2 linked regions of the Ovis aries genome follow. The protein of the gene in region 2 purifies or fractionates together with the protein of the main gene of each other region. This does not show direct contact. Links are inferred from orthologs where the notes say so. Each region holds a gene or a part of one and is shown on either strand. Other genes may lie near its edges.

Region 1 (3,645 bases), on a different chromosome or scaffold from region 2:
ATGCTTCAGTTTCTACACCTATATAATGGGGACAATGCCCCAACCACCTCAGAAATTGTTTTAAGGATCAACTGAAATAATGTAAAAATATTTTGCAAAAAATACAATGTTAATTAAAAATATAAGGTTTTATCAGTATCTTTTCAATGACAGAATATGTTTAAGAATATTTCAATACTGTAATATTATTCATTTATCAAATAACAACCAAAAACTGCTTATCTCAATTTTAATAGATTAACATAAAAATGGGAAAAGGTCATTTAAAAATTCCCCAGAAATTCAAATGGCCAATGAATTGTCACACATGATTACAAGTAGGACTTGCATCCATATCTCCATTCATTCATATCTCTGTCTGCATGTGTATATTACATCTAGTAATCATACAACACACATTTTTAGAAGTTACTCATTTTTTCCTAACAAAAGCAAAAGTATTATTTAAAAGATGAAGAAATTGAGGAAAAAAGATTAAGCCTTTTACCTAAGTAGTATTGACTCTAAGAGATTAATATTCAAACCTCTTGACAGTGAAAACCAGTACTATTTTTAGTATCCACATTTTTTCTTATTAATATCAAACTCTAATAAATGGAAGGGCGTATGGCTCAAATTTTAATCATATCTTCTTTAAACAGCAAAAGCAATTAAAAGGGAGTTTATATCCTTTACTTTACCATCAAACACCATTAAAGGAGATTTTATTTATAACTCAAACACTTCCAAAAAGCCCTTTCAATTAAAATATTAAATTTAAATTAAAAACTACTCGAGTGACTCTCATAAACAAAGCTCCCCAGTTGGGTACTAAACTCCAAAACCTTTCTGATCTCCAGCCCAAGCCACTTCTACCTGCTTTGCCCATATCTTTTCTCTCCTTACCCCTCAACTATGTAGTATGACCTCTCTTCATTCTGAAAGAAAGGAATTGTTCCTCTTTTATTAGATAGAAGTAGGAATTTGGGAAATTTAAGGATTTATTTTCAAGCCAGGGTAAGGTAGAAGACACTCAATAATCCTGTACCACTACATATATATTTATCCTTTCCACTTATGAAATTAGTTGAAGAAAACACTGAAAAATAATTTTAAAGTAAAAAGTTAAATTTTATAAGATCATGAGTTCAGTTCAGTTTAGTCGCTCAGTCGTGTCCAACTCTGTGCAACCCCATGAACTGCAGCACGCCAGGCCTCCCTGTCCATCACCAACTCCCGGAGTTCACTCAAACTCATGTCCATAGAGTCGGTGATGCCATCCAACCATCTCATCTTCTGTCGTCCCCTTTTCCTCCTGCCCCCAATCCCTCCCAGCATCAAAGTCTTTTCCAATGAGTCAATTCTTCGCATGAAGTGGCCAAAGTACTGGAATTTCAGCTTCAGCATCATTCCTTCCAATGAACACTGAGGACTGATCTCTTTTAGGATGGACTGCTTAGCTCTCCTCGCAGTCCAAGGGACTCTCAAGAGTCTTCTCCAAAACCACAGTTCAAAAGCATCAATTCTTCAGTGCTCAGCTTTCTTCACAGTCCAACTCACATCCATACATGACCACTGGAAAAACCATAGCCTTGCACTAGATGGACCTTTGTTGGCAAAGTAATGTCTCTGCTTTTCAATATGCTATCTAGGTTGGTCATAACCTTCCTTCCAAGGAGTAAGCGTCTTTTAATTTCATGGCTGCAATCACCATCTTCAGTGATTTTGGAACCCCCCAAAATAAAGTCTGACACTGTTTCCACTGTTTCCCCATCTATCTCCCATGAAGTGATGGGACCAGATGCCATGATCTTCGTTTTCTGAATGTTGAGCTTTAAGCCAACTTTTTCACTCTCCTCTTTCACTTTCATCAAGAGGCTTTTCAGTTCTTCTTCAAGATCATGAGTAGACATAATAAATTACACACCCTGATACTGCTGACATTTAGATTCACTCCTGTTTTTCATTATTATAAATAAACAGTAAACACAAATCTCTGAGGGTTTCTCTGAACATCTTCTAAGATAAATTTATAGAAATGGAATTAACAGGACAAAAAGTATGAATATTTACATCTGCCAAATTATCCTCTAGAAATTTACCCCGTACTGTTGATAAAACTGCTGTTAGTAGTAAGACTATCCCATTAAAGAAAACAGTATGAATATTAGCACCAAAAAAAGTACAGCCAAACCATGTGCCTAGTTCATAGAAAATAAACAACAATGATACATAATGTTTCTGTTTAAAAACTGTCAAAGGTCTTTTTGTTTCATTTTTAAGGCTTATTTCTTTTAATGGCAATGCCTACTAGTGACATGGGGCAAGAAGGAGAGAGGGAGTGAGTGGGTGAGTGTGTGTGTGAACACCTACTAGCTATGGAGAGTGAGTAAGTGTGTATGTATGTGTGTGTGTGTATGTTGGGGGTACTTTCATACAGTTAGTATAAAAGATGAGGCAATCTAACCAACCCCCAGCCATATTCCTCCATGAAAACCCTTAATACCAGTTCCTAATAATCAAAGAAACTTTTTTTTTTTTTTTTTTTGTTAGGAAGATATTTTCTGCCTATCAAAATACCCAAGATTTGGGGCAGACTTTCTTAGAAATAAATACAAGTAAAAGACTATGGAGGCAAAATTTCCTGCAGGAAACTTCAGTGGAAATTAAAAATGCTAACTTGAGAGCTATTTGTTTGGTTTCCATGTGAAAACTATTAGCATATATTTTAAAAAGATAACATTTGAAATCTCAGGGCAAAGGGAAAGATAACACCTCAGGGACTGAGAAAATCAGCAACTGTCATGAATAGCATGAGACTGAAGCTATTATCCATGTCTTTTAGCCAGAATAAAAACATTATGGGCACCAGAGCAAGAGAACATGATCCTCTGATGTGAACAGACTTACCATCTCTGACAGGTGAGAACATATCACCTAAACTACTTTTTCCAGAATCATCAAAGCCAGAGAAATCCTGATTTTTCCCACTCTCCGTTTCCTTTGATAAAGTATCGGTGATTATGCTTCGAGGCAGACCTTATAGAAATTGGACATAAAAATAAGTTATTATATTGAAATAAGTTTATCATGAGAAGCTAGGAACTAAAAACTAATGTCTTACCTATATCATTGGAAACACTACAACCAAACAACAGGTCAGTTAACCATCATTTTCATGGAATGAAGGGCTCTTAAAAGCAACTAACTTATTTATATATCACCACTTTTTAAATCTATTTTGATAGAACTTTTCTAAATATTTTATGTATTTTTCTTACACAAAGTATACTGAGCACAGCTTATTTTTGTTAGTGACTGACTCAGGATCACCTACAGTGATTAAAAAATGTCTCTAAGCCATCAAGTACAACACCAAACACACAGCAGTATTCAAATGATGTTAGTTCCCTTTCCCAACTTGCAGTGATGGATCTCTTCTTTTCCCTTCTTTATCTTTTTCTTCACTAACAGTGGGAACCTAACATTGCTCTTAGCATTACTGACCTTAAAGGCCTTCACTAACCTTAGGACAGCTTCCAGACAGGAAGGAAACCAGAACACCAAACTCATAAAGAACAGTACAGTAGACTAATAACAGAGACACGCAGCTATGCGGAAATTTTGCTTTCTCTCTCAATATGACTTTAGGGCAGGGACGTTTTA
Region 2 (4,423 bases):
GATATTTTTAGCAAAAACAGTTATGTTTTGGAAACATACACTTTGTTATGTTTCAGGCTTATCCAGAACTGCTTTATTTTTCATTCAGCTGTAGAAGCCCCCCCTACACTTGAGTTCCCTTGGAATCTGATCAGTAATACTTCCCTAGTTATGAATAAATCCAAACTCTGCTTGGCAGATTCTATGAAGACCTAAGTTCACTTCAGGAGATGACAACTCAGGGAAGCAGCAGTTCCATTTTCACACAGGATGACACAGACAGATTCTTTAAGCATATTTTTAGCCCTACTATCCCAGCTCAGAAAAACAAAACACTATTAGACACCCTCAATTTCCTTGCATATAAACCGTGGTGAAGGATGCTTCTCTAATTCCTTGGAACACGGAGAAGTCGTCTTAAGTGGCTTTGAAATGGGTGAAATCCCACAATTACTATTTCATAACTGTCTTCAAAAGCTTGTAATTTTCTTTCAAGTTGCAGTTATGGAGGCTCTCAAGGACTCCCAGACTTCGCAAACTTCCTGAGTGGGCAAAAAGATGTCTATCTAACATGCTAATTCAGGTCGTTTAAGCATGTTTCCTTGTTACACCTATGGATCCCTTTTCAAGATCTCACGCCTTACTCATCTACTCCAACAATAAGTACTAAGATCTCGAGGCTGTTGAGCAGACAAGAGAAGGGAGGTGATGGCCTTAACGGAACACAGCTTCTCTTGGCTAAAATGAGGCGCCTTCGCTCACTGCGAGCGGCGCAAGATGTTACTAGAAGCTCCTGCCAGATGTGCGGGGCGAGGGTGCACGTAAAGCAGGGGGAACAACTGGAAGGCCCTAAGAACTGCGGTGCCAAAGCCTCAGGCGGGATAGAGTGGAAGGAGGTGAGACAAAATTAGGCAGGTACAGGTAGGAGCCAGTGCAGCGAAGAAAACAAAGGAGGCGAGAGATAGAGCCTTAGAGAAACCTGACGAATTCGCGCCTCGGAGGGTTTCCGAGGATCCAGTTCTCTCACCAGAAAGCCGCGTTCAGCCCCAGGCACCACAGGGCGCTCCTGGCTGGCCGCTCCCACACCAGGGCTGCCTGCACTCGGCTCAGCAGAGGCTCGTAAGGCCCCAGCACCTCCACCAGGGCCCGCTGCGCCGCCTCAACCTGCTGGTCTCGCTCCCAGGAGCCTGACATAGGGCGGCGACCCTTGAAAGTCTGACCGGAGGCTGGGCCTGGGGCCACGGCCACCCCCTCTGCCTCCGCCATCTCCCCCCGGCAGCCACAACATCCGGGGCCACGGCCCGACAATCACAATAATCTCAACTGCGCAGATGCGCGAAACGGCGAGGGAGGCTGCATCCCTGCACACGCGCCTGCGCGAAGGCCCTTGGTCGCGTACATCCCAGAAAGAAGAACACTGCGTCAAAATTACGTCCCCGGCGCCCCAATCAGGAGCTGCGCACGCGCAGTCTGCAGGGCTGAAGCCGAACGAGTAAGGAAGTGCCCTCGCCAGAACTCAGTTTTCATTGGAACAGAGGAAGTTTGGGGGCGGGGCAAGTTTTGGCGTATGCGCAGTGTAACGGGCTAGCGAGCGGCGGCTTTGCTGGCGGGAGAGGCAGCTTTTCTGTGGCGAGAGCGGTAGCTTTGCTGTACAGAGCGGCTGCAACGCAGCTGCCAGAGGAGAGATGCCGAGGGAGATCATCACCCTACAGTTGGGCCAGTGCGGCAATCAGAGTGAGCGAACTTCCGGCCCCTCCACTAGCCAGGGTTTCTTAGGTTCTACGGGATCTCGCTGTGGGATCCTGAACTCCATCTGCCCTTCCCAGAATCGTAGTTCTCCGAAAGGTGGGACATGCCTGACCCAGTATCCAGCTGCTCAACCCCAAGGGGCCCTCCTCTGCCCAGTCGCTGATATACTGCCCTTTCCTCTGACACGAGAGACTCCCGAAGCTTGACTTCCTATCGCTGGACCCAGGCATTGAGTCCCCCAGCTCCTAGTTGGAACCTGCCCAGACCCAGATATCCTCTTTCTTCCCGCCCTCGTTCCTCCCGTCAGTTGGGTTCGAGTTCTGGAAACAGCTGTGCGCCGAGCATGGTATCAGCCCCGAGGGCATCGTGGAGGAGTTCGCCACCGAGGGCACTGATCGCAAGGACGTCTTTTTCTACCAGGTGCCCCCAGGGACTTAGCCAGGGCCGGTAGTGGCCCAGGGGTTCTGAAGGGAAGGGTAGTGGCTTGGTACTGGGAAGCCCACTAGGCAGAGGAGCCAGGGAGGCTGGCTTGAAGAGGGAGGGAGGCAGGATCAGGGTTGGGAGGACTGGAGGACTGGGCAGGCCCGAGCTGATTGGGCCCATCCTAAACTCCCCTTTACAGGCAGACGATGAGCACTACATCCCGAGGGCAGTGCTGCTGGACCTGGAGCCTAGGGTGATCCACTCCATTCTCAACTCCCCTTATGCCAAGCTCTACAACCCAGAGAACATCTACCTGTCGGAGCACGGAGGAGGAGCTGGCAACAACTGGGCCAGTGGATTCTCCCAGGTCATTTGCTGTTCCCTGGCAGAAGAACTCCACTCCTGCATGGGGACTGGCCCTATGACTTCCTAAAGAGAAGATAAACCAGATGGAGAATATATGAGTGGAGAGAGAGATGTGACTGAGGGGGTTCTGAGCGAACTATGTAATGGTCATAAGAGACTGCACTTGGCTCATGCCGGATGCCAGGCCATTGTTAGTGTTTTACATAAATTAACTTACCCAGACCTTCCAACAATCCTAGAGGTAGGTACTACAGGTCCACAGTCTCTGTAGGTTTCCAGAATCCAGAAAACTCTGAAACCAAAAGAGGATTTATAACTACTCATTTAGCAGCAAAACTGAATCTCAATAGAGATAAGCTAGTTTATAGTTTCTGTTCAACTTGCTGCCACTTCTCATTCCTTTCACTAAAGAAATATTAATGTATTTGGTTAGCACTGCTCAGACCCCTGCCCCACTGATGTTCTACTTAGCTTGTGTTATACACACCATATAGCCCTCCTAGAATCTGAAATATTTGAACTCTGAAACATAATGCCCCAAGAATTTTAGATAAGGCACTGTGGACCTGTATTAGTGCCTTCATTGTACAGATGAGGAAACTGAGGTATAGAGAGATGAAGTAGCACCCGACTAACTAGACCTAGAGCTAATATAGGCATTCAGGCAGTCTGGATGTAGAGACTCTGCTCGTAACCACCAGGCTGTACTACCTTTTAGTGCAAACAAAAAGCAGGACCACTGTGTTCCAAAAAGGACTTTTAGGTACTATAAGGAGAATGGAGGGTGGCTATTCCGAGGCCAAAGTCCTGCCCTTAGTCTTGTTGCTTAGTCCTGCCCCACTCTGATGCCCTCCATGTCTGTGCAGGGAGAGAAGATCCACGAGGACATTTTCGACATCATAGACCGGGAGGCAGATGGCAGCGACAGCCTAGAGGTGAGCATCTTAGGAATGCCGGTGACGGCCAGCAGGGGACCGCTAGGCAGCACCCTTTAGAAGCCATCTGTTAGGTGTGGGACCCTCCCCGTGCAGCCTTTGCACTGGACAGAAGCCACAGGGCCTTGTTGGAAATAACGAACAGTCTGCTAATCTGTGGGGGGGGGGGGGGGCGGTGGGGGAGGGAAGTGGAGGAGAGGTCTTGGGAAGATAGGAGTCCAAGAAGTTATGAGATGGGTAAAATTGGAAATCCTGCCACTTGAAACCTAGATACTGACCGCCCCTTCCCCATGCAGGGCTTCGTGCTGTGTCACTCCATCGCTGGGGGAACAGGCTCTGGCCTGGGCTCCTACCTCTTAGAACGGCTCAATGACAGGTAAGTCTGTTTTGAAGGGCAGAGAGGATTTGGTTTCCCAGGTGACTGGGAGGCCCTCCAGATAAAACCTTCCCATTCACTGGAGCAGGAAAGGGCCCTTCCGTTCCCTGCTGTATTGAGGAAGGAAAGGTACAATGACCAGGAACCCAATCACACTCCTAGTGGTTGGAACCAGAGTCTAGAATCCTGATCTTTGATGAAGATTCAGGGAGTAAGCCTGATTTGGAATTAAAACTCTAGGTCCTAAGATGTCTCTCTGCCCTTCCCCCCTTTTGGGTTACAGACTGCCAAAAGTCAGGTCTCCCTTCTCTGCTGTCCTATGACCCGAACCGCAATTTCCCCATCCTGACCGTCACTAGAAGCCCCAAGTTTACCAAGCCTCTAGTCTGTTGCCCTTGACCATCCTTTCGCAAACACCACTAGGTACCCCAAGAAGCTGGTGCAGACATACTCAGTGTTTCCCAACCAGGACGAGATGAGCGATGTGGTGGTCCAGCCCTACAACTCACTGCTCACGCTCAAGAGGCTGACCCAGAACGCTGACTGTGTGGTAAGTCCTGGAGTCTCCCTTACTCCAGTCCCAGCCCCCCTGTCT

The links. Proteins that work in one complex are often made in the same cells at the same time.
Region 1: the proteins of TUBG1 (region 2) and NEDD1 purify together in Homo sapiens (affinity purification with mass spectrometry; 5 studies listed by BioGRID and IntAct, with this or other methods). This does not show direct contact. The link is inferred for Ovis aries from reciprocal best matches to the Homo sapiens genes TUBG1 and NEDD1.

The regions. Positions count from the first base shown.
Region 1 is NC_056056.1:166,687,628-166,691,272, reverse strand, and holds part of NEDD1 (protein NEDD1), read right to left. Parts: intron 3,019-3,645; coding exon 2,890-3,018; intron 1-2,889. UniProt on the Homo sapiens protein: Required for mitosis progression. Promotes the nucleation of microtubules from the spindle.
Region 2 is NC_056064.1:42,410,071-42,414,493, forward strand, and holds the start of TUBG1 (tubulin gamma-1 chain), read left to right. Parts: upstream 1-1,565; 5' UTR 1,566-1,664; coding exon 1,665-1,713; intron 1,714-2,035; coding exon 2,036-2,148; intron 2,149-2,350; coding exon 2,351-2,518; intron 2,519-3,383; coding exon 3,384-3,452; intron 3,453-3,748; coding exon 3,749-3,828; intron 3,829-4,251; coding exon 4,252-4,378; intron 4,379-4,423. Other genes in the region: RETREG3 (reticulophagy regulator 3), read right to left, coding at 1,007-1,245. UniProt on the Homo sapiens protein: Tubulin is the major constituent of microtubules, protein filaments consisting of alpha- and beta-tubulin heterodimers. Gamma-tubulin is a key component of the gamma-tubulin ring complex (gTuRC) which mediates microtubule nucleation.